Diceros bicornis minor: one gene and its partners. The protein of the gene in region 2 interacts with the protein of the main gene of each other region in a pairwise test. Links are inferred from orthologs where the notes say so. Each region holds a gene or a part of one and is shown on either strand. Other genes may lie near its edges.

Region 1 (7,892 bases), on a different chromosome or scaffold from region 2:
TTGATAGCTCATCGCTGGAAACAAATGAAATGAAAACCTATTCTTTTTGTGGCAGTTTTACTCTACTATGCTAAGCCCTTTAGAAAGAGGAAGTTTTAATTTAATTCCACAACTACAAAAACACAACACTGTCTAACAGTGGTTCTCGTGATGCTTTGGTCCCTCAGCAGCTCTTTTCCAGCAGGGGGGATTTGGGGAAGGAACACTGACATCTTGCAGACAAGCATGAGACCTGTGCCTTACACACAGAAGAAATACATGACTGACCCTTTCTCAGAAATATACAATGCATATTTTCATCTAATTTTACTGAAAGCAACACAAAAGGAAGAGCTACAGAAGAGTAGTGAGAATACAGTATTGCCACAAAACCAGTGTTGGATGGTGGATAAACACTGAGTGAAGGAGATGAATAGGTTTTAATCTGCAGTTAGGATGCTGAGAATGAGTCTGTGATCTGAAATATCTGCAATATGCTGAGCAGCTTTTAATGGCTGCCACAGCCTCAAAACAGCATCACCTGTCCTCTTGAAAGCACTAACTGGTCAGCTCTTATCAATATATGGGCTCAGATGATACCTGGTATGTATGTTACTTTGTTAATTCAGGAGTCTGACTCAAAGAGGGTCTACCATGGTTTAAATAAAGGATAACAAGTAGACGATTAGCAAGGAAAATTCTACAGCTAAGGAAATGGGGGCAGGGGAGAGTAACATGCATTCCAGCCTAGAAGGGTGATGACAGGTGCAAGTGACGCCACATACAACATAGGATTCTAAACATCTAAAATTGATACAGAATTTATCTTCCCATTGTAATTGACAGAGAAACTAGGCTTGGTTTTTGGCTTCAAATAATTATATAACACTATTAAAACTCACAGAACTCTGAGTATTCTTCTTCCCCAAGCTTTGCTGGACCCAAGTATTACTGAAAATAACACAGTCCTCCATAACACTTCATGGTACCAGGCTCTTTCGGATATTTTATTTCATTAAAAGACCAATGATCCAGTTCAAAAGGTCTTTGGCTCTGAAATCCTGGAAAAGTCAATCTATCTGGCTCTCTGCTTCCTTGATAAATAACTGAGGCTGACAATTTGGCTGAATATGCTAATTAATATTTCATAATCACCAGCTCCAACAGTACTAAACACTTCACAAGCATAAACTCACTGACCCCTCACTATGAGAAGAACTGTTATTACTCCCATTTTATAGCAGAGGGAATTGAGGCACAGAGAGGCTAAGTAACTTGCCCCGGGTCCCAAAGCTAGGATAATAAAATGACCTGCTATACCAAGGTCTGACCTAGGATGCAATAACTTTGCCCAAACTGAGTGTGAATGGTGAAGATGCAAGTCTTCTTATATGGCCTGTCAATGAAATAGGTGATCAATAGTCAAGGAGAAAAGAGACGGTTCTTTCAAAACAAAAAGGCTTTTCAAAATCCTTTTAGAATTATTGGCTCAAGATTTGGCCTAATTTCACAAAACCAACAACGCAACACCTCTTCACAAAAAGGAATGTTCCGCTGAAACAAGCATCAAGGACTGTAATGCCTTCCTCCTCTGTCTCTTCCAGGGAAGCACATCCTGGCTTGAAATACGCTGTGACATTAAGATCACCTCCTGGCTTGAGGTACCATAACACTCAATTTAATCTGAATAAATTTAAATGTTTTGTGAATCGGAGAAATAATCTATTTTTAAGGATAGCATCAAGATTAGGCAGCGTTCCTCATGTACTGTCATTACTTTGAAAGGGAAAGAAACTTAAAATTCACTGCTATATTCCAAACCACACATCACATGAGAAGTACGGAAACCAGCTGGGATAAATGCCTTCTGAGAGGTTCTTGAGGACAAGGACTCTTACGTTTATGCATCTTTGCAGCCCGTACTACTGTGCACTGCATGAAACCTGCATTTAAGCATTTCCAGCAGATGCATCAACAACTGTAAAGTATTATAACCAAAAGAACGAACGTGGCAAAAAAAGCAGGTTCCACGTTGAATTTGTACAGAAATAAAACTGTGTCTAATCATGGTATGGTTAAGTAGGGGCCACCGGTGCTTCTCAAGAACGAGAACACGCTCTTGGTGTCGACAGAGGATCTTTTGCTTTCAAAAGGCAAAACAAAAAACCACTACGAAATTTCTGTCTCTCATCCTAAACAGCTGAATCATTCATTCAACCGTCCATAATTCTTCCAACAACTGCCAGTGCAGGCTCTGCTTCTGGGGAAGTCCGAATTTAAGACCTTCCCTAGAGAGCACGGAAAAATTATAGAAAATTAACGGGATTCCCCCAAGGACGCTGCCTTCAACAGGCGCCGCCTCATCCATAACCAAATAGGAGGCCCTGGCCACGACACCAGTCTCCGGTGAAGGAAAAATACTATGCCGAGAAGACGCATTCGTTCACCCACGACAATTCACCAAATGCCCACTCGGTGCAAGGCACACGGCCCCTGACCGCTGGAACGGGGACGCCGCGGCCACTTGCCCCTCCGCGGGGACGCGCCCAGACGCCCCTCCGGCGCCCGCGGGGCCGCCTCACGACCCCCGACACCGGGCCCCGAGCAACGCGTCCAGCCGCCGCCAGAGGAACACCCCGGCCGGGCACGGCGGTGAGGGCCCGCGCACCCCCGGCTACCGCGGGCCCGCGAGGCCGGGGACCCCCGCACCGAGGGGGACAGCGCCGGGCCGAGGGGCTGGGGGGGAGCTCTGCGGCCCTGGAGGGTGTGTGGGGCTGAGGGCCCCTGGGGCGTTCTGCGGGCTCCGGGGGACCCCAAGGGAGGCGCGGGGGGCAGCCAGCCAGGGAGGGGCCCGGGACAGAGACCCTCAGGGCACGCGCGGTCTGGCGCTCACCCAAACAGCCCTCGGAGGAAGGAGTGGGAGGCCTTGACTCGCTTCTCAGCCTCCGCCATCAGCTGCACCGCCTCACGCTCCTTCCCCACGTTGTCCATGTCGCCGGCCGCCGCCGCCGCCAAAACCTCCTCAGGCGGCTTGGACGCGGCGTCCAAGGCTTCGCTCGCCTCTCGTAGCGGCGGGGAGCGCAGGCGCGGCGCGCGGCCTGACGGGATTTGTAGTCCCGGGTCTGGAGGCGGGGAGCGCAGACGCGGCCGCGCGGCCTGACGGGATTTGTGGTCCCGGGTCTGGCGGCGGCGAAGCTCGCCGGTCGACTACAGTTGCCAGCTCGCCGCAGAGCTGGGTGTGGTGGGAACCGAGCGTGGAGACCGCGGGCGCCCGGGGAGTGTGACCCTCTGTAGGGGTCCTAGGCCAAGGTAAATTTTAATCGTTTAGGTATGCGGGAAATGGAAAATGACCCCTGGCTTCCAGTAATCATCAACTCAAATACGCAGCATCACGTTGGTTCAAAAATCCCTGCTCGTCAGGATTGACACATGGCAATGGGATGGATGAGGAAACGGATAACAGACTGGAACGCTCAACCTATGCCCCAGCTCTGCAAAGGAGCTAAAGCAGCCTCCGAAAGCAATTTTATTAACCTTGTGATGCCCACGCACTCACCAGCAACAGCTCGCAGAAACAGCCATTTTTATCTCCCGAGCAAGACGTTTAAGAATATATCATTTTCGCTAGTATGAATTCAGAGTTAGTTTTCAGTCTCCCCATATTGTACCTTTCTGTCTCTCCTCTCTTCTTTGATTGTTAATGAGTTGCATTAATGACCAATCTACTCTTTTTATTGACTGAATTCTTTTCAATGGATGTGAGCCATTGAGCTCTCTTATCCTTTATATAATGGTGACCATAGAGAGTGCATCTCCTGGGATGCAAGTCCTGCCTGCCAGGAAGACGTCTAATTTTCTAGGAGAAGTATCCATAGATAGATGCCCTCGGGTGCTAAGGATTTCCAGGCCTGTCCCAGAGGGAGTTATTTTTTAATACAAACTCTAGACCATTTACATTGGCAATACTAAAGCAGAGGTGGTGAAGCAAATATGAAAATCACTGCCAAATGAGAACTTGTGACAATTTCAAACTATTAATAAATACACTGTGGGCTCTGGCACACAAAATATATCTAAGAAAATGAATCCTGTCTTTAGACAGCAAGGCAAGAGGGCCAACTCCTAGAAAGAAAGGTAACTAAAGCACGTGTCACAGAGTCCACGCATTGCAGGCACTCTAGAGAGAGAAGGAAGTCTCACATCTTCAGACAGAGTTTATTTACTCTTACTACATGCATTATTCTAACTTCCAAAAGCTATGTGTGTGCTTTTGGAGCAGTATGGGGGAAGAAGGAGGCAGAAAATTAAAGGTGGCAGTGATACTGAACCTCTTAATCTCAAGTTTGTGTGCCCAATGTGAAATAAGCCGAACACTCAGACACCAGTGCTTGGAGATGGAGAAAGTTTTATTTGAATGGGCCAAAGCGAGAAGGCAGGACAATGGATTCTCTCAGATCCACCTTTACAAAAGAAGAAAACAGGGGGTCTTTGTAGAGCTAAGAGGCTTGGCAGGAAGAATTTTAGAGAAACAAAGGGGAAATCCGTGTTTCTTTCACTCCAGATAAGTCTTTGGGCAGCCGGACTTCTGGGTGTCAACAGCAGCTGGGGCCTGGTTATCTGGTGATCGTAACCTCCTTAAAGACATTGTTTTTCTTCTGCAAGACAAGTTCATAAATCCTTGTGACCCTTGAGTCACCCCTCAGGTTAAACAAGAAAACAGCAAGTCAGCAAGATTAACTTCTTTTCATCTATGTCTGTGTTGGGAACAAGATCGAAGGGTAGTCATGTTCTTACTGAATATTTACAGTAACCCTCAGGTACCCGGCTTCAGCAATAAATGCAGGAGTAAAGAAATAAACTGCAAAAAGTGGACATCAGCATTTGAAAAGCAGAGCAGTCTATGGGGATTTAATGGAGTTGGGCCAACTTGAAAGCTCCTACGAGCAGCATCAAGATGTTGATTAAAGCAGTTCCCAAAGCTGGCTCAATGCAAAAACTCTAAAGGATGTTCAAGAAATACTGATTCCTAAGCCACCAGCTTTTTGTATCAGGATCTCCTGGAGTTGCGGTCTAGGAAGTGCACATATTAAAAAGAATTCTCCACCACTATTCTAAAGCATACAATTTTAGATTCTTAGATCTATAGTCAGCTTAAAAGGAGGTAGAATGGACTGTCTCCTCTAAGCTAGAACTTGCAACTAAGGGTGGCGGGAGTACATCTCGATGTTTTTGATATTTCTGGGTATTTCCCTCATTTTCTTTATCATGGGCACTCCTCCTGTTCCCCCAATCCAGGCTCAGTTGGGAGAAAAACTTCAAACCTTAATTATTGTGTACAGCGTGTGTTTTCTTCTCCCAGAGTCTAGGTGAGGGGATTTGGCAAAGCAGAGAGACAAACCTCACAGAATAAGGACCAACTAGGGGGACAGATGAGGCATTTTTGAAGGGTGAAAGAAAAGGAGACCTGCTCTGGTGTGGACCAGGGAGGGAGTGAGGCCCTCGAGTAGGAGCTGTCCAGGAGTAGATCGAAAGGACCTGTGGCCTACACATGTGCTGACCAGGATGGTGGCCACTTGCCACAGGTGACCATTTAAATTTAAACCAAATAATATGAAATAAGGTACAAAATTTTGTTCCTCAGTCACACTAGGCACATTTCAATTGCTTGATAGCCACAGGTAGCTAGTGGCTGCCATATTGGACTGCACAAATATGGAACATTTCTGTCATTGTACGAAGTTCTGGTGGACAATGCTGGCCTATACACACCTTGCCTTTCAATGGCTCTGGACACTTGGAAGAAAAGAGGAAAAAGGCTTCAGACTGCATTTCTGGGAAGATGAGCAGGAAAGGAGGTGCCTGCACCCTGAACAAGGCAGAGCCAAGCAGAACCTGCAGGCCTTTCCTTATGAGCAGATCAGAGTAGACACAAAGACACTCAGACTGAATGAACGCATGAGGTTAGATTGGAATGTCGAGTGTCCAACTACCCACCCTGAGAGGTGGCCTGCAAAGGCAAGGCTGAAGCCATTTGAGAACAGCCAGCTCTAAGAGAAGCAGGGTCAGAAAAGGACCCATGGGGAAAACAAGGTGTGGCCATCTGCGTGTGTTCATAGAAGGGGGTGTGGCATGCAGAGAGTCCTGTGTGGAGTTCGGCACTGCGAGAGAGTGCAGCAGGCACAAACGCAGTGTACCTCCAGGATTGCCTGGGCTGGCCTCCTGACTGGCTAGTGCAGATGCCTAGTGCACTGGGTGAATAACCGCCATGCAGCTGAGTGCAGCTGCTCACACTACTCAGGGTCCAGCAGCAGCTACCAGTTACTAAGGTCACTTAGTGTCACCCACCTCCCCTCCCTGTAATTCCAAAGTCAGTTGGAAACTGCTGATCATGACTAGCACTTAATATTCACATGCTTGCTGGTCCCAACTACTGTCACCTGCAATTCTCCTGGGGGTTCTCTTTGGCATTCCAGCCTGCTCTGCATGAACGCTGGAGGAGTAGGGGGATTAATTAGCTTTATTAATAGAGGAATTAATGCCTCTTTGTCTCCTGGGAGCAGCCCTCAATCAATGACTGTTGGGAAGTGGAAGGATAAATACCCATCTGGTGGGACAACTCTGAGGAATGTTCTATACTCTCTCTTAGAGGGCCCCAGTGGGAAGGAGCACCAGCTACCTACAGTAGAAGGTCGTTTGTTCTATACCCTTTATTGACTTCCTTCCTTTCCCTGCCCCCACACCCCACTGGTGCTGCCTGCTGATGTCACCTCCCGATAAATTGCTTTCTCTAGACTCCTTGTCTCAAGGTCTCCTTCTGGGAGGACACAAACTAAGACAGAGAGAGTATGCGCTGAGGACCAATAGGTGTGTTCTGGTCCCCATGGGCAGTCATGGTGTTCATTACATTACAGATTCATAGATTAGCATTCTCATCCATGGATAATTGTATACTTAGGGTTCTGCTTCCCCACTTCAACTTAGTGGTGTAAAACAACAGTCATTTATTAGTATTATCGCCTGTGGTCTTAGGGGTTTTAGGGACTGGGCTCAGCTGGGGAGTTCTCAGTCAGATGGTAGCAGAGCTGGGGCCTCCTCTTCCCGCACATGCCTGGTGCCTGGGATGAGAAGACTCAAAAGGCCAGAGCAGCCACAGATCCTCGCATCACTCTCTGGTCTCTTACATGGTGGCCCGGGCGTCAAAGGTGCTGGGGGGAGGGGGAGCCGGGTGGCGGGTGGATCACCTTTATGATCTAGTCTCCAAAGTTCTGAGCCATCACTCCTGCTTCCCTGAAGCAAATCACTCAGGCTCACCCATATTCAGGGGGTGGATCTCGAAGGGTTTACAGACATGTTAAAACAACCACAGTTAGGTTCAGGGGAGCCAGTTCCCACCCTGGTCCACTCCAGTTACATTGACAAAGCTGTGAAGCTGGAGTCTCCCTGTGGGGGCTGGGGAGCAGCCCCTTACCTCCAAGGGCCCTGGAGCCACGAGGGGCCCTGCCCGGCCTTCAGCTCCTCCTCCAATGACATCTCCGCCTCGCTTCTGTCTGCAAAATAAGAGTGGCTCGGAGGCAGCTGGACAAGGCCAAGTCTGTGCAGCGTGCTCCCCTTTAGAAGGCAGGGAAGAAAGGAAGCCATTCCAGTAGGCTCTTCATCCAAAAGCATAAAAGTAATGAATTCATGAAAATGAATGTTCTCCATTCCTGGTGTTGAGGTGGGGCTTCTGTACTTTGTGCAGCTTTAAGGACAGAATTTATTCACTCTGTTTACAGTGGTTCTTTTCCTTTTCCTCATGGACTTGCAAAACTCGAGAGCATTTGAATGGGAACTTCAGACAAATAATTAGATAAGTGCTTTTTCTTATAATTTTTTTTAACTTTTCAAATCAACATTGGTTTGTGTATGTGTGTGTG
Region 2 (6,836 bases):
CCTTCCCCTAGATGATCCAAAGCAGGGCATCAATAGTTGGCAGCAAGTCCCCAAAGGTGGGTGGAACATGGGAAGCCAGTCCTGGCTAGTGTTTTCCTTGGGTCACAGTATAGTGGTTAAGAAAGAGCATAGACTCTGGACCTCCACTCTCTGGGTTCAAATTCCGGCTCTCTCATTTACTAGTGTGTAACTTTTGGCAAGTTACTTAACATCTCTGTGCCTCAGTTTCCTCCTTTGTAAAATGAGGACAATAATAGTACCAATCTCATAGAATTGATATGAGGGTTAAATGAGTAAATATCTATAACCTGCTTACATTGGTGCATGGCACAGAGTAAATGTTATGTAAGTATTAAACTAAAAAGAAATAATTTCATTCATTCATGAATGTTTATTGACCAGCTACTATGTGCCAGGCACTGTTGTAGGTGCTGGGGACACAGCAGTGAATGATGCAGGTGAAAATCCCTGCCCTCATGGAGCTTAGCTTCTAGCAGGGTGGACAGGACGGGTGAAGATAGACAATATATAAAATAAATAAGCAAAATAGAAGGTGTGTCAGATCCAAGTGAAGACATGAGAGATGTGCAGGACCGCTAGCCTAGGACCTGGTGCACAGTGGGGCTCAGGAGATGGAAAAGGAAAGGAAGAGCCTGGACAGGCAGCAGAGTGGAATCTCTGGCAGAGACACTGGGGCTGCGGACACCCTGGTGGTAAAAATCATCATCATTTCTGTCATATAATAGCATCAAACACTTATATAGCACTTATTCCGTACCAGGCACTGTTCTATTCACTTTACATATATCATCTCATTTAATCCTTACAGCAACCCTATGAGGTTGGTACTGTTACCGTCCTATTTTTCAAATGAGGGAACTGAGGCATGAAGAGGTTAAGTAACTTGTCTTATAGAGTTATATAGTAGTTGAATGAGCTGGGATTCCAACCCAGGTCATCTGGCTCCAGTGTTAATAGGATGGACCTATAGGTGGAGGGGACGGGACAGGCTGCCATGCCTCAGGAACAGGTAGGGCCCAACCTTCAGACAGATTGAAAAGAAAATACACACCGCCACCCCCCCCCAACACCCACACATGCAAAACCCAATATACTTAACACACACTTCAAAGCTGCTCTGAGGGCCTGAGAGGAGTAAAAAAGGACTATGAGACAGAGATAAGGGCTCAGCTCTGGAAAGCTCTATCCCCAGAGCCATTCTCCCTAGATGGCCCCTGCTCCCTGGCCCCTCCACACACCCCTCCATGAGGCTCTCAGCCTGCCCTCCTGTGGCCTTAAGCCACCATCGCAAAGCCCTGCGATCCTACCCAGAGACCACAAATAAAATGAATATCATAGTCCTGGGAAATTTAACAAAGGCACCAAGAACTCCAGATCACAGCTGGGAACCAAGAAGGCAAGTCATCAAAATGCTAAGAAACAGAGAGAGGCAGGTGGGACTCGTAGGCCCAGAGAGAGCTGGAACCCACAGTAGTGAAAGCTCACAGAGGGAGGAACTCTCCACAGTTTACAAGACCCTTCCAAATTCTTCTTAACCTCACTTGATATTGTTCAGTTCTTACCCTAGGCAAGACAGAAATTACCAGACCAAGTTGTCAAATGAAGAAATTAAGTCCCACAGAGGAGCAATGAATTATTCAAGATCACCCCCAGGACTAGGAGTCAGATGTCCAAAGCCCTTCCACTGTACCACTCAGAGTATGAGAGAGACAGACAGAGACAGAGAGAAAGAAGGGAGGAGGGCAGGGAGGCAGAGGCTAACATGGAAGATCCAGGAGCAGAGAAATCCTTCCTCATGATCTCCAGGGGACTCCACGGGGCAGGGTTTGGCCTCCTGAACCCTTCATTCTTTATTCCTCCTGTGGGTTGATCAGGGCAGCACATCCTCATTCCTTCATTCCCAACCCAGGCGAGCTGGATTCTAAAGGGAAGAGGAGAAGGATCAAAGTCTTCACATAGAATCAGACAGCACTTGACAGTTTCCAACCTCATATCACTGAACATTAGAGCAGGGAATACCCATCAAGATTATCTCCCCATCCTCCTACTGCCACCTATTGTGTAGATGGGGGATCAAAGCCCAGAGATAAGTGACTTTCCAGAAGTCCACAGCAACTCAGTCACAGGAATCTAGTTTTCCTTACCAGGGCATACTAGAGAGGGGCTATTCCTTCCCTTGCTTGAATCTTCATATAAGCACCCTGGAAAGAGCCCCGGGGTCCAGAAGACTTGATATCCATTCTGGCTATGCCGAGACTCACTGAGTAGTCTTGGGGACTCTTGCTATAGAATGTAAACTCCAGGGGCTGGCCCCGTGGCTTAGCGGTTAAGTGCATGCGCTCTGCTGCTGGCGGCCTGGGTTTGGATCCCGGGCGCGCACTAACGCACCGCTTCTCCGGCCATGCTGAGGCCGCGTCCCACATACAGCAACTAGAAGGATGTGCAACTATGACATACAACTATCTCCTGGAGCTTTGGGGGGAAAACAAATAAATAAATAAAAATTAAAAAAAAAAAAAAAAAAGAATGTAAGCTCCACAAGGGCAAGGCATTTTTGCCTCTTAGCCCTTGATGTATCTCCGGCCCCTAGAACAGTGTCTGGCCCATAGTAAACGCCCAATAAACATCCACTGAATGAATGAACCTCTAGAGGGCCAGGGTTAGGGGAGTGTCACCGTGAGAGCCTGAAGCCTGAAACAGAAGACTAGGGAACTATGAGCTTTATCTTCAGATGCATGAAAGGCTAAAATTCTGTCCACAAATATTTATTGAGGGCCCATTATGTGCTGGGTACTGAACTAGGTGCTGGCGATTCAGGTAAGAACAAGACAGTCATGCCCTGACCTCAAGAGCTCACAGTCCGCTATAATATGGAATGTGGGCAGAATGTTTTGTGGACTCCAGAGGGTAGACCTAGGTGCAAGGTGGGGGCGGGCGGGGGTGGGAGGGAGGTGTAAGTGGCAGACTGCTCAATATAATACATTTTTCTTAGCTTGAGCTGCCCTGAAATGGTCTCGCTGCTCAGAAGGTGATGAGTGCAGCAGGACTGCAATGTTCAAGCAGGGCGCCAGCCGCCCACCTGTGGGAAGCTGTGCCAGGAGTATGCGGAAAAAGAGATTTCTGCCTTGGGTGAGGTCACTTCCCACCCCCAGATTCTCTGCCTACAAAACCCTGCAATTCTCTGACGCTGGATCTTATTATTTTCTGAATTTCAAGGTCCCATAATGCTGACAGCCCCAAATTCTAAGTCGTCTGCCCACGGCCCTGGGCCCCAAAGAAATAAAGCTGAATTCAGCAAGGGTCCTACCACCCACTGCCTCAACAGGTCTCTGGGGATAGCGCCCCCTCCCCGCCTCGGTGGGCTGGAAGGGCGTAGCTCGGGCGCCGGAGTGCCGCGGACGTCGTGGGGAGAAGGATGTTTCAGATACAGAGTTGACAGAGCCAAGACACGTGACAGTCAAAGGCTCACGTTCTGTGGTCCGCGAGGCTGGGACCCGGTCGATCACGTGACGCAGGGGGGCACTATGGGGTGATGTGAGATGCAGGGCCTCTCACATTACGTACAAATGACGCATTCCCACCCCTTTTGGCAAGCAGATTTCCGTTGAAAGATGCGACAGTTCCGGTCGAGGGGGAGGGTTCTCACGTCCTGGCAGTTTTGCTTCCGTTCGGGGCGCTACAGTTTCCGACCTCTGCCTCTCCCTCGGGCGGGGAAGAGACGCGACCCCGTGCGCATGCCCTGAATCATCCCAGGGGGGCGGGGCCGAGGCCACCGGGGCGGGAGGGGGGAAAGAAAAGGGAATTCCAACCTGTGGAAACTTGGGGGTCCCCGAGGTCGCCTCCTTCCCATTGACTGTGGATGGTGCCAGGGACAGAGCCTCTGGAGGCTCGTGGGAGGTTTTGGGGTCCGCGGGGTGAGGGCGGAGGGGAGTGTCAGAGTGCCAGTGGGGTACCGGAGTTCCAAACTTAGAATCTTGAGGCCCTCGGGGCTCCGGCGCCGGGGAAAGAGAGCTCCGGCCGCCATGCGGGACAGGACCCACGAGCTGAGGCAGGTGAGAAGTCGGGGCAGCAGGGTTGGGGACGGGCGGACGGGGTGGGATCTGGCTGAAATGCAGGACTCCTGGTCTTTGGGGCAGGGAGGGGTGGCTGAGGGCTAGGAAGGAAAGACCCGGAAGCCCGTGAGTTCTGCGGGAAGAGAGCTACAGCAAGGAAGTGATGCCAGTGACCCTGGCCCTGGCAGGGGGATGACAGCTCGGACGATGAGAACAAGGAGCGGGTCGCGCTGGTGGTACACCCGGGCACGGCGCGGTTGGGGAGCCCGGACGATGAGTTCTTCCAGAAGGTAAGAGCCTGGAGTCCCGGCCTGGATTCACGAGGGAACTGGAAGACCTGAGGAGCAGCGCGGTCTGGAGTACCCCCATATCTCCTTCAGCCCTCTCGGTCACCCTCCCCAGGTCCGGACAATTCAGCAGGCTATTGTCAAGCTGGAGAATAAAGTCCGAGTGTTGGAGAAGCAGCAGGTCACCATCCTGGCCACGCCCCTTCCCGAGGAGGGTGAGTGAAACCCCGGGTGCAGAACGCACGCTCAGCCAGAGGGATTGTGGGGATTGCAGTTCCAGGCAGGTGGTGGCCAGGAAGATTTGTTGAGGTATAGGATGCTGTTTGGGAGTCATGGCTTTCTTTTGTTCAGGTATGAAGCAGGACTTGCAGAACCTGCGCGACGAGATCAAACAGCTGGGGAGGGAGATCCGCGCGGAGCTGAAGGGTGAGCTCCTAGGACCTCAGACAGATCCTTCCCTCTGTTCCTGCCCAGCTCCTGGCTTATGGGGAGTGTGTGGCCCAGAGAAGCCAGAGATATATCCAGGTCACACAGCAGGCCTAGATCTAGAATCTCTGTCTCCTGGCTTCCAGTCTACAGTACTTTCTCTCTTTTTTTTTTTTTTTTTGAGGAAGATTGGCCCTGAGCCAACATCTGTTGCCAATCTTCCCCCATTTTTTTTCTTTTTTCTCCTGAAAGCCCCCAGTACATAGTTGTATATCCTAGTTGTAAGTCGTTCTAGTTCTTCTATGTGGGATGCCACCTCAGCATGGCTTGATGAGCTGTGAGTAGGTCCACGCCCAGGATCTGAACTGGTGAAGCCCAGGCCGCCAAAGCAGAATGCACGAACCCAACCGCTGTGCCACTGGGCCGCCCCTCTATAGTACTTTCCATGGCACATGCCTGCCTCTTGAGGCTTTATTTGTAATGAAACCATTTACTCCTACAATTTTTGCTGCCCAGTGTGCATTCCTTGGGCAGGCAGATGGGGGTTTTGTTAGGAGGCCTCTGCGTACCTGTGAGAATTCTCTGATGTATTGCAAAGAAAAATATAACTTTTCTCTTGTCAAAAGTTCAGAATTAGTCATTTTATGATAAATTATATCCCCACCCCCAATCCTATGGAGATAAACACCTCTCTTTTGTATGGCTGGGGTATGGCCCTGGCCTTGTGTCCTGGTCCCTAAATGATTTTCAGAAGCCACAGGTGAAACCCCTCCCCCAGCAATACCCTTGTGTCTTCCCACAGCCATAGAGCCCCAGAAGGAAGAAGGTGATGAGAATTACACCTCGGTCAACACGAGAATGAGAAAAACCCAGGTGGGTTTGTTATTCCCAGAACTAGGTCATTTCAGTGTTTTATAGATCATTAGATGGCAGAAGTAAGAAGGAAGGGCCCTTCCTTCTTATTATCAAGTCCAACCTGATGATTTTCCAGATGGGGAAACTGAGGCTTAGAGAGAGAAAGGACTTACCCAAGTCCAAAACCCAGGTCTCCTCACTCCTAATCCATTCTAACACCCTGCCTTCTCCTCCATTCAATGAGAAGTTGTTGAGTCTCCAGACATGACCTGGGCTTGGCTGTGGGTAGACATGCTTTCTAGGAGCCAAGATGGGGAGTTAAACTTGAATAGGTGACAAAGACATTACTCAGGTAGGACTTGGTAGCTAATGGCTCTGCTCAGGGAAGAAGAGGGAGCAGTCATAAATGACTGGGAGGTTTCCTGCCCATGTGACAGGGACATCCTCTGCCCCATGGGCAGAAGTCAAGAAGTCCAGAAGAGGAACTTCCCTGGGGGAGGGAAGGTCACTGAATCACATCTTAGTAAGGAGATTTGAGGTGATGTGACCAGCCCCCTCTGGATGCCCAGTGAGGAGTGGTTTGGAGTTTATGGAGGTCAGAGTTGGAGTAGGTGGGCCCAGAGTTCAGCACAAGATTGAATATGGAGCAGTTTGGGCATCTTGAAAGGATACAGCTGAAGCCAGGATAGCAGATGTGTCTCTGAGGAAGGTAGTCCAATGAGCACATTTAAGGCAATAGGGGAATGGACAAGGCGAGAAGCCGTTTCAGGGGGAGCCTGTGATGGTCGTCAGTGGTCGTCAGTGTGAGAGGCTGACGGCCCAGGTGGACCTGTAATCTGGGCGGCAGGCTGACCTCCAGGCCCACTAGCACACCTCCCAGCTAAGCAATAAAACGGGTGTTCCGCCAGCATTCAACAGATTTATTGAGTGAGACAATCACCAAAATAAATAAGTAAATTATTTTAGAACAGAGTAAGTATTCAGGAAAAAAGAGCAGGAGAAGAGGGATTGAGAGCGCTGGGAGAAGGCAGGTTGCAATTTCAATAAGGTGAAGAAAACTTCATTTAGAAAGTGACATTGGAACAAAGACTCAAAGGCCTTTGTGGGGCCCGAGCATTCCAGGCCGAAGGAACAGTGAGTGCAAAGGCCTGAGGTGGGGGTGTGCTTTGTTCAGGGAGGAGTAAGGAGCCCACTG
Region 3 (7,187 bases), on a different chromosome or scaffold from region 2:
TCTTGCCAGATGATTAGGAAGATACAAGATGATTAGGAAGAGCTAACAATTTCTTTCCTAAGTGCTTCCTGCCTCACCAGTTTTCCCCAAACCAACTCACACAAGATGATGATGGAAGCAATTTTAAAAATTAAATGGCGGGTCAGGTAGATCTTACAAAGCAGTATAGTGTGGAAGGAACAGAAGTAATGCCTTGGTCTAACCTCCCTCCCCTCCCCACCCAATGCCCCAATGCAGCTTCGGGAAGAGGATCTATTGAGTTAGGCCTTTTGCTTGGGCTCCTTTCAGGGTCCTCCCCTCAAACCCCTGTTCTCCCCAGACATCTTCCTCTACTCCTTGTATCTGCTTCCCAGTCTGCTGTACTATTCTGCTCCCTCAGCAAGAGAGTTACTTCCCATCTCTTCCCAAACTGGGGCTCCTCAGGCCATGGCCAGATACAAGTGAAATCATTCCTTACTCCAGCCACTTTCTTGGGGCGAGTGGACTCGGTGAGCCTCCTAAGGTAGGGAGGTGGTAGAGGCCAGTTCCATAGCCATTCTCCCCACAGCAAGAGCTGGGCTGATCTCTTCACCAATTCCCTCAGAGGAGAAACACCTCAGCAAAGTAGACATTTAGTTTTTTTCCCTGAAGACAACACAGTCTAGCTTCACATGAGGAAATTATATTCCTCCTATTAACATGGGTTTGATTGTGTTCTTTTCAAAACTGTAACCCTCACTTTATTTCACTAAGGAGCCTTTGACCACTGCCTGGGTTTGGCTTACATCCTGAGTCACGATGTCAGCTCTGAGTCGCTTTATCTTAGTCATCTGAGACAGCTTTCTGATCCCCAAATCTCTTGTCTAATAGAAGCGAGGACAGGAAGATGTGTGAGCTCATTCCTCCTGCTTGTGATTTTTTCTTGCTTCATGTATTCCTCCTTTCATAATATGTCCTAAGAAGACATAGACAATTAGGTGGGGCTAGGGAAACACTAGTATTAGATGAGAGTATTTTTCCACTTGTCCCTGTCAGGGTCCTGCAGGAAACAGCTAGTTTGCCCAAAGGATTTAATTGAAGAGAGTTTAATAAAGGGACTCTTTATAGAGGTGCAAACAGACTTAAGAGAACCCAACAAGGAATGGTGAAGACCCAGGACAAGCAAGAGCAGGCAGCCAATATTACACCTGGGCCTGCAGAAGCAAAGGGGTGTGGTGTTACTGGACCCTACAAGAGCTGTAGATATGGAAGACAGGCCAGTTGAAAGTTGACAGTCATCGTGGCAAAGAGGAACGCAACCACTGCAAAAACCATGGCCTGGCAAGGGGGCACAGAGGGATAAATAGGTCGACCTCTCTTTCTTCCTGCCCTCTGATCTCCTTCCAGAACCACCCATCGGCCAAAGCCAAATGGAAGCCAGTGGGCAAGGAGCCTGCCAGGGCACAAGGCAAGGCAAAGAAGGGTGGAGAATGGGGGGGCAAACAGAGTAACCAACACATAGTCAACATTTGCAAGTTTAAAAAATGGTCCACTTATCCCACAAAGCAAACCACTATGTACAACTTATCATACTTTACATTAGAATACTGGACCTCTGTATGCACCAAAAGAAATGCAACATTACTTCGTGGAAGTTCAACAGATAGATGGGTGGGGTTGGATTTTCTTTCCCTACCTTATCTTCTTACTCTGCATTTTATGTCTACGTCAGTGAAAATAAAAATCTGTGTCATTATGTACGTGTGTCTAGAATCACAGGTTTTTTGGAAGGTTGTCTTGTTCAATGCCTCACTTCCATGCCCCCCCCCCATCAGGAATCTCTTAGATCGAATTACTGACAGGTTATCTAGTCTGAGTAAGTACTTTGGTGACAAACTGTTTACCATCTCCTATTATTGGACAACTCTGTTAAAAAAAAGTTCTTAACACTAAGCCACTTAGTGAAATTTTAGTGAATACTTAGTGAAAATTTTCCTTTTCCAAGTGACAAGTTTTATCAAAGTTAGGTCCTTAAAGGACAACTTAACAGTTGAAATTCTCTGTTTAGCTTGTAACTTCAAGCTGATTCAACACCATCCGTACCATTTGGCCATGTTTTCTTTTCCTGAGATGTTTTGTTAAATGGGCTCTGGAATCCCGGAGATTCTTATTTGCTGCTGCTATGGAGCAAAATCAACTCGAGTGGAGTGAAGATATTGAGTTAAGGGGGTGAAGAAGTTAACTGGGGACAAGGACTAGATACTTTCAGGGAGAAGAATAGGGACACAATGACATTCTTGTTCAAGAACTACTAGCTAAAGGTCACAGAGGAAGAGAAACAGCATAAAATTAAACAGGGCATGTATACAGCACTCAGGAACCAAATGACTGAAAATATAGAACTGGAAGATTCAGTATAGTCTCTATTTATTCCTGTGGATCTACTCTCACCCTTCTCCACTCTGCTGTTTGTCCCCAGAGGCTGACCTATATGAACTGCATCAACTGCCCTCTGGCTTCCGATTAGGTTCAACCACTGGGTCCCTGGGCAGGAGATTGGAGGGGAAGAGAGTAAGGCTGGAATATTCATCCTGCCTCCCATTCTTCCTCCCTATGGGGTCCCTGCAAGCTGGCTGCATCCTTCAACTCAAGGCCATAGTCTCTCTCTATCTCTCTCTCTCTTTCTCTCTCTCTCTCGGGATTCCAGTAGCCATCTCCCCACTCAGGCCTGGACACTGCAAAACCCTTGTGGTTTCACACACCCTGCCCACAACTTTGTAAATAGTCCTGTGCGTTATTAAATTGCCCAATTGGAATGTGCCATCTGTTTCCTGCCATTTATCTCCCAACAAACATATTGAGTAACTACTATATGCCAAAGAAAAATAAAATGATAAATTAGACAGTTATAGCCTCGAGGGGGCAGTCAAGGGAGTGGAGACAGCCACAGAAACAGATCTTTATATATTACATCTTGATAAGTGATGCAGAGAGGCATTGGATGGAGAGGTGGGCGGAGGTGTAAAATAGGCGTATAGGCAAACTCAAAGAAGGTTTCTTGGTGGAGATGGGGTTGGGCAGGGAAGTCGGTAGGGAGTGGTCAGGAGCTGGGAGAGAAGTTTACCGCCATGGATAGGTTGATTCAGTCAGGGCCAGTCAGGTTGTGGTAAAGGATTAGAGTGGAGGACTAGACTGGGCCAGACCACAGAAAGCCTTCTACTGTGGGAAGCAGTCCTTCTTTTCCATTTGCTTACTCTCCCTCTCTTTCTCTACACCAAGGGAAAAATAATGATACCGCTGAGGTCTGCAGCCTCTTATTCTTAGCCCTTAATCCTGCTACTACCAGGGTTTGACACTCCTACTTGTTGGCCTAAAACCTGTCTTTTCCATTTAAAATCACTCCTATGCACTTCTTGAACCTTCTAAGGTCTTTCAAAATGGCAACAAGACAATATGGTATACTAGTCCTTAGAGAGGAGCTACAGGAGAGAGTTAGAAGTGAACGTTCCCAAATACATTCTAGAAGTCCTAATAGCCAGAGCCCTGTTCCTTTAATAGCAAGAGAGAACACCGACACATTTTTTGTCCAATTGAGAAGAGTGATAATAATGTTGGAAAGAAGGGAGGGCGTGAGCCTCACTTCATCAAGGCGGGGCTTTGGTCCAAATAGATTTGGGCAGGGGGCCACTTTTAGGATCCATTTTTTATTACACTACATAGGCAAGTCCAGGGTCCAAGAGATGTCTGTCTTCCCTCTCTAAAGCGCAAACTGCAAATAGTTTCCTTGCTAGGTAAGGCCAAGCCTATACCGCCCCACAGAGTCCTGCTTGGCGCTTGGCGCTTCCTTGACATCCAAGACAGCCAACCTTCTAGGCCTGGGGCTTAGAGTGCTTCGTTAATCAAAATCACACACACTCCACCCAATGGACCTTGTTTTCTGTTAACCGAGAGTGCGCACCACTGCCTTATTCAGCCTCCCACAAAGAAGGAAGAGACACAAGAAAAGTTAAAGTGGTGGTTTGGGATTCTCGGAGCTCTAGCTCTGAACAACTAACTGGTTCAGTTACTTGAGCCCTCGGCCAGCTCGGACGCCGGGCCAGGGGGCGGCCACCGCGCAGAGAGCTCTCGGCGGCCGCGAGATCCCAGGGGTGGGGCTGGTTTCTGAGCGAGGGCCAGCTGCCCACCCCGTGGAGGCCCCACATCTCTGGCTAGCCGGCGAGAAAGCCCCTCCTCCCGGGCGGAGACAGCTTCAAGAAGTCGACGCCCGCGTCCTGCCGCGGGGCTGGTACCCAGAGGCCGCCGCCGCCTCGCCGACTTCTTGTGGCTGCCCGGGCGCGGAGTATGGGACTCTGATGGCCATGGACGGCTACAGGGGCTTCCTGGGGCTGCTGGTGTCGGGGCTACTCGTCGGCTTCCTGTCCGTGATCTTCACCCTCGTCTGGGTCCTCCACTACCGGGAGGGGCTCGGCTGGGATGGGACCGCGCTCGAGTTTAACTGGCACCCGGTGCTTGTGGTCACTGGCTTCGTCTTCATCCAGGGCATCGGTACTGGGCGTCTCTTGGAAAGCGACCGGGAGGGAGGCGCGGGTTGGGGGTCCCCGACCTAGTCCCAACCGAGTGGGGCCGACGTGGTCGAGCGAAGGGGTGAGGGAAGAGCGAGGGGCGCGCGGGCGCCGGGGAGCCGGGGGCGGAGCGCGCCCCCGAGCCGAGTCGGCGGGGCGCGCAGCGGGAGGGAGGTGGGCGTGCTCCGGCGGGGCCGAGCTGGGACTTGGGCCGCCGCGGGCGATCGCGGGAGTGGCGGCGCCGGGACGGGGCGCCCCGGCGCCCGGGGTTCGCTGTGAGGCGCGTTACGGGGGGCGGCTGGGCACAGCGGCGCGGAGCGGGCGCGGCTCCACCTGCTTAACTCTGCTGCGAGTGGCTTGGACGCAGGGGAGGTGCCAGAGCGCCGTGCGGCCCGCAGGCCACTAGCGCCGGAAAGTCGCCCCCTGTGGGCCGAGCCTGCGCAGTCAGGGGCGCGGAGACTCTGCTAGGCGAGGCCTTTCGTTGGACTTGCTTCAAGTTAGGAGAATTGTAGATTAGGAGAGCGAGGCAATCGGGGGAAATGGAGGGGCGAGAATCTGCCTCTTCTTGTCCCATCGTCAGCCTGAGTGGAGGGGCTGGTCAGTCGGAAGCTGGGGCATCAGCATCTGGATTCACTCCTCTTAGAGCGTTAGACTCAGTCGAGCCCGAGAAGCTGCCAGGTCTCCAGAGGGTGTTTCGCTGCCCTGCCTGGTCATTGGTCAGTCTTGAGCCCAGCGTGTTTTTGTGGCTGTCGACTGGCGCAAGTTCGCTGGCGAGGCCTCCTGTTGGCCGCTGCCGGGAACTCCGGGCAGGAAATGCCCGCCGGCGGCCGGCGACGAGCCCGCTCCGGGCCTGCTTGCTCTGGGCTGAGGCTGGCGCGGCGGGAGGGGTCAGTCCGTGGCGTTTTTTCTTCTCTGAGGTATAATTAATTGACATATAACATTATATTAGTTTCAGGTGTATAATGTGATTCTGTATATATATATATAGCGAAATGTCACAATAAGTCTAGTTTACATCCGTCACCTCACATAGTTATAATTTTTTTTTCTCATGTTGAGAACTTCTAAGATCTACTCTCTTAGCAACTTTCAGATATACAAAACAGTGCTATTAACTGTTGTAACCATGCTGTACATTACATCTCAAGGACTTATTTATTTTATAGCTGGAAGTTTGTACCTGCACCCATTTCGCCCGCCCACCCCCCTCTGGCAACCACCAATCGACGGCAGTTTTCATTGTCCTTGCGTAGTGCGGTTCACAACGCCCTGACAGTTTCCTTGGCTGCTGTTTGGCTGGAGGAACCTCTAGGTAGTGGTGCAGCGCCCTTTATTTGTAACCACTTTCCAAAAAGTGAACTCAAGGCCTTGGCAGAGAAAGTATTTAGAAAAAGAAAGTAGTGGCCTGGGGTTATGTCGCAGAAAGTAATCGAGAGGAGAGGAAAGGGTTCGGAAAGAGGTGCCCACCGGCTGAAGAATCTAGCCTTGCTTCTGAACAGGCTGCCTTTTCTCCACCAATATTTAACTCTCCACAAGCAACAAAAAAGCTCCGACCTCATTCGTAACAAAAAGATTTTTGTTTCCACTTAAAATTTGGGCTGCAGCCTTCGGAGGGTATGGCTGCCTTTCTTCCACTCTGGGATGTAGTGGGAGACGTTGCTAAAGCCCAGCCTTGGTCTCAAGGCTTCCTGGTATGGGAATTGGCACCGGGGTGTGAGTACTGCTGGCCAGCTAAGTTATTTCGTTGCATAAGACCCAGTTATTTTGCCACTAAACTAAAATGAGAAAAACATACTCAAGTTCCAAAGTCGCTGACATCAGAACTCTTTCCTTCCTGGTGGAGCCCTTAAGTTTGGCCAGAGCTGTCAACACCATCTGTTTGCTCAAAGCAGTAGTAAGTCTCTTCATCTCTTCCAGCCAATGCTTCAGAGCAGCTCCTAATACCAAAATACTTTCCAGAGGTTCTGGAATATCTTCTCGTATTTGGGGAAAAGGGAAACTTCCTGACTTACCAAAGGGGAGACAAAGTCACAAAACAATAGCTAACATTTATTGAGTGCTTCCTGTGTGCCCACTAAGGGCATTATTTCACAGGTTTCTAAGAGTAAATGGAAGCACAGAGCAGTTAAGTAACTTACCCACGGAAGTCATATAAGCGTTTTCAGTGGCCTTTATTCAAGGTTCATTTCTCTGCTTTAATGGCAATATGCCTATTTTCTGTAAAATATTCTTTTTAGAGGCATAAAAAACTTACTTTAAAATATACTTTAAAACTCTTCATGTTAGAGTCCATTACAGTTTTCCTAAAATAATTTCTAATTTCTCTAAACTTTGGAATTTTCTTAATCTGTTTATACTCACTTTTGGGCAAAAATCTGTAAATGGATGTTTTGGAAATTTTCATCTGCTGCTTTTATGCAAACCTTGTTTTCTTTAAGTTTAGTTACTGTATTTGTGTTAGTTTTGGAATGTATGTTCTGTCAACATTACCTATCCTGTTTAGTATTTGGATTCCAGATTTGCAAAGCACTTTAATCACATAATACATCTCATTGACATGAACATAAACTTTTTCATACACATAGGCACATGCATAGTACTCCTGAGTTCCTACAAATCTCGGCCCACCTGTACCTCCTCGCACACAGCAGTAGGAAGGCTCCAGTG

Evidence for each region. The genes of interacting proteins can lie anywhere in the genome.
Region 1: the proteins of STX4 (region 2) and NAPB interact in binary tests that used the Homo sapiens proteins (3 or more experiments, as listed by UniProt). The two-hybrid records come from large-scale screens. The link is inferred for Diceros bicornis minor from reciprocal best matches to the Homo sapiens genes STX4 and NAPB.
Region 3: the proteins of STX4 (region 2) and plasma membrane ascorbate-dependent reductase CYBRD1 interact in binary tests that used the Homo sapiens proteins (3 or more experiments, as listed by UniProt). The two-hybrid records come from large-scale screens. The link is inferred for Diceros bicornis minor from reciprocal best matches to the Homo sapiens genes STX4 and CYBRD1.

What each region holds. Positions count from the first base shown.
Region 1 is NC_080758.1:49,753,135-49,761,026, forward strand, and holds the start of NAPB (beta-soluble NSF attachment protein), read right to left. Parts: upstream 3,015-7,892; 5' UTR 2,971-3,014; coding exon 2,873-2,970; intron 1-2,872. UniProt on the Homo sapiens protein: Required for vesicular transport between the endoplasmic reticulum and the Golgi apparatus.
Region 2 is NC_080765.1:20,991,619-20,998,454, reverse strand, and holds the start of STX4 (syntaxin-4), read left to right. Parts: upstream 1-3,819; 5' UTR 3,820-4,043; coding exon 4,044-4,073; intron 4,074-4,261; coding exon 4,262-4,363; intron 4,364-4,453; coding exon of another isoform or gene 4,454-4,475; coding exon 4,476-4,575; intron 4,576-4,711; coding exon 4,712-4,786; intron 4,787-5,588; coding exon 5,589-5,659; intron 5,660-6,836. UniProt on the Homo sapiens protein: Plasma membrane t-SNARE that mediates docking of transport vesicles. Necessary for the translocation of SLC2A4 from intracellular vesicles to the plasma membrane.
Region 3 is NC_080749.1:52,860,478-52,867,664, forward strand, and holds the start of plasma membrane ascorbate-dependent reductase CYBRD1, read left to right. Parts: upstream 1-4,173; 5' UTR 4,174-4,310; coding exon 4,311-4,503; intron 4,504-7,187. UniProt on the Homo sapiens protein: Plasma membrane reductase that uses cytoplasmic ascorbate as an electron donor to reduce extracellular Fe(3+) into Fe(2+).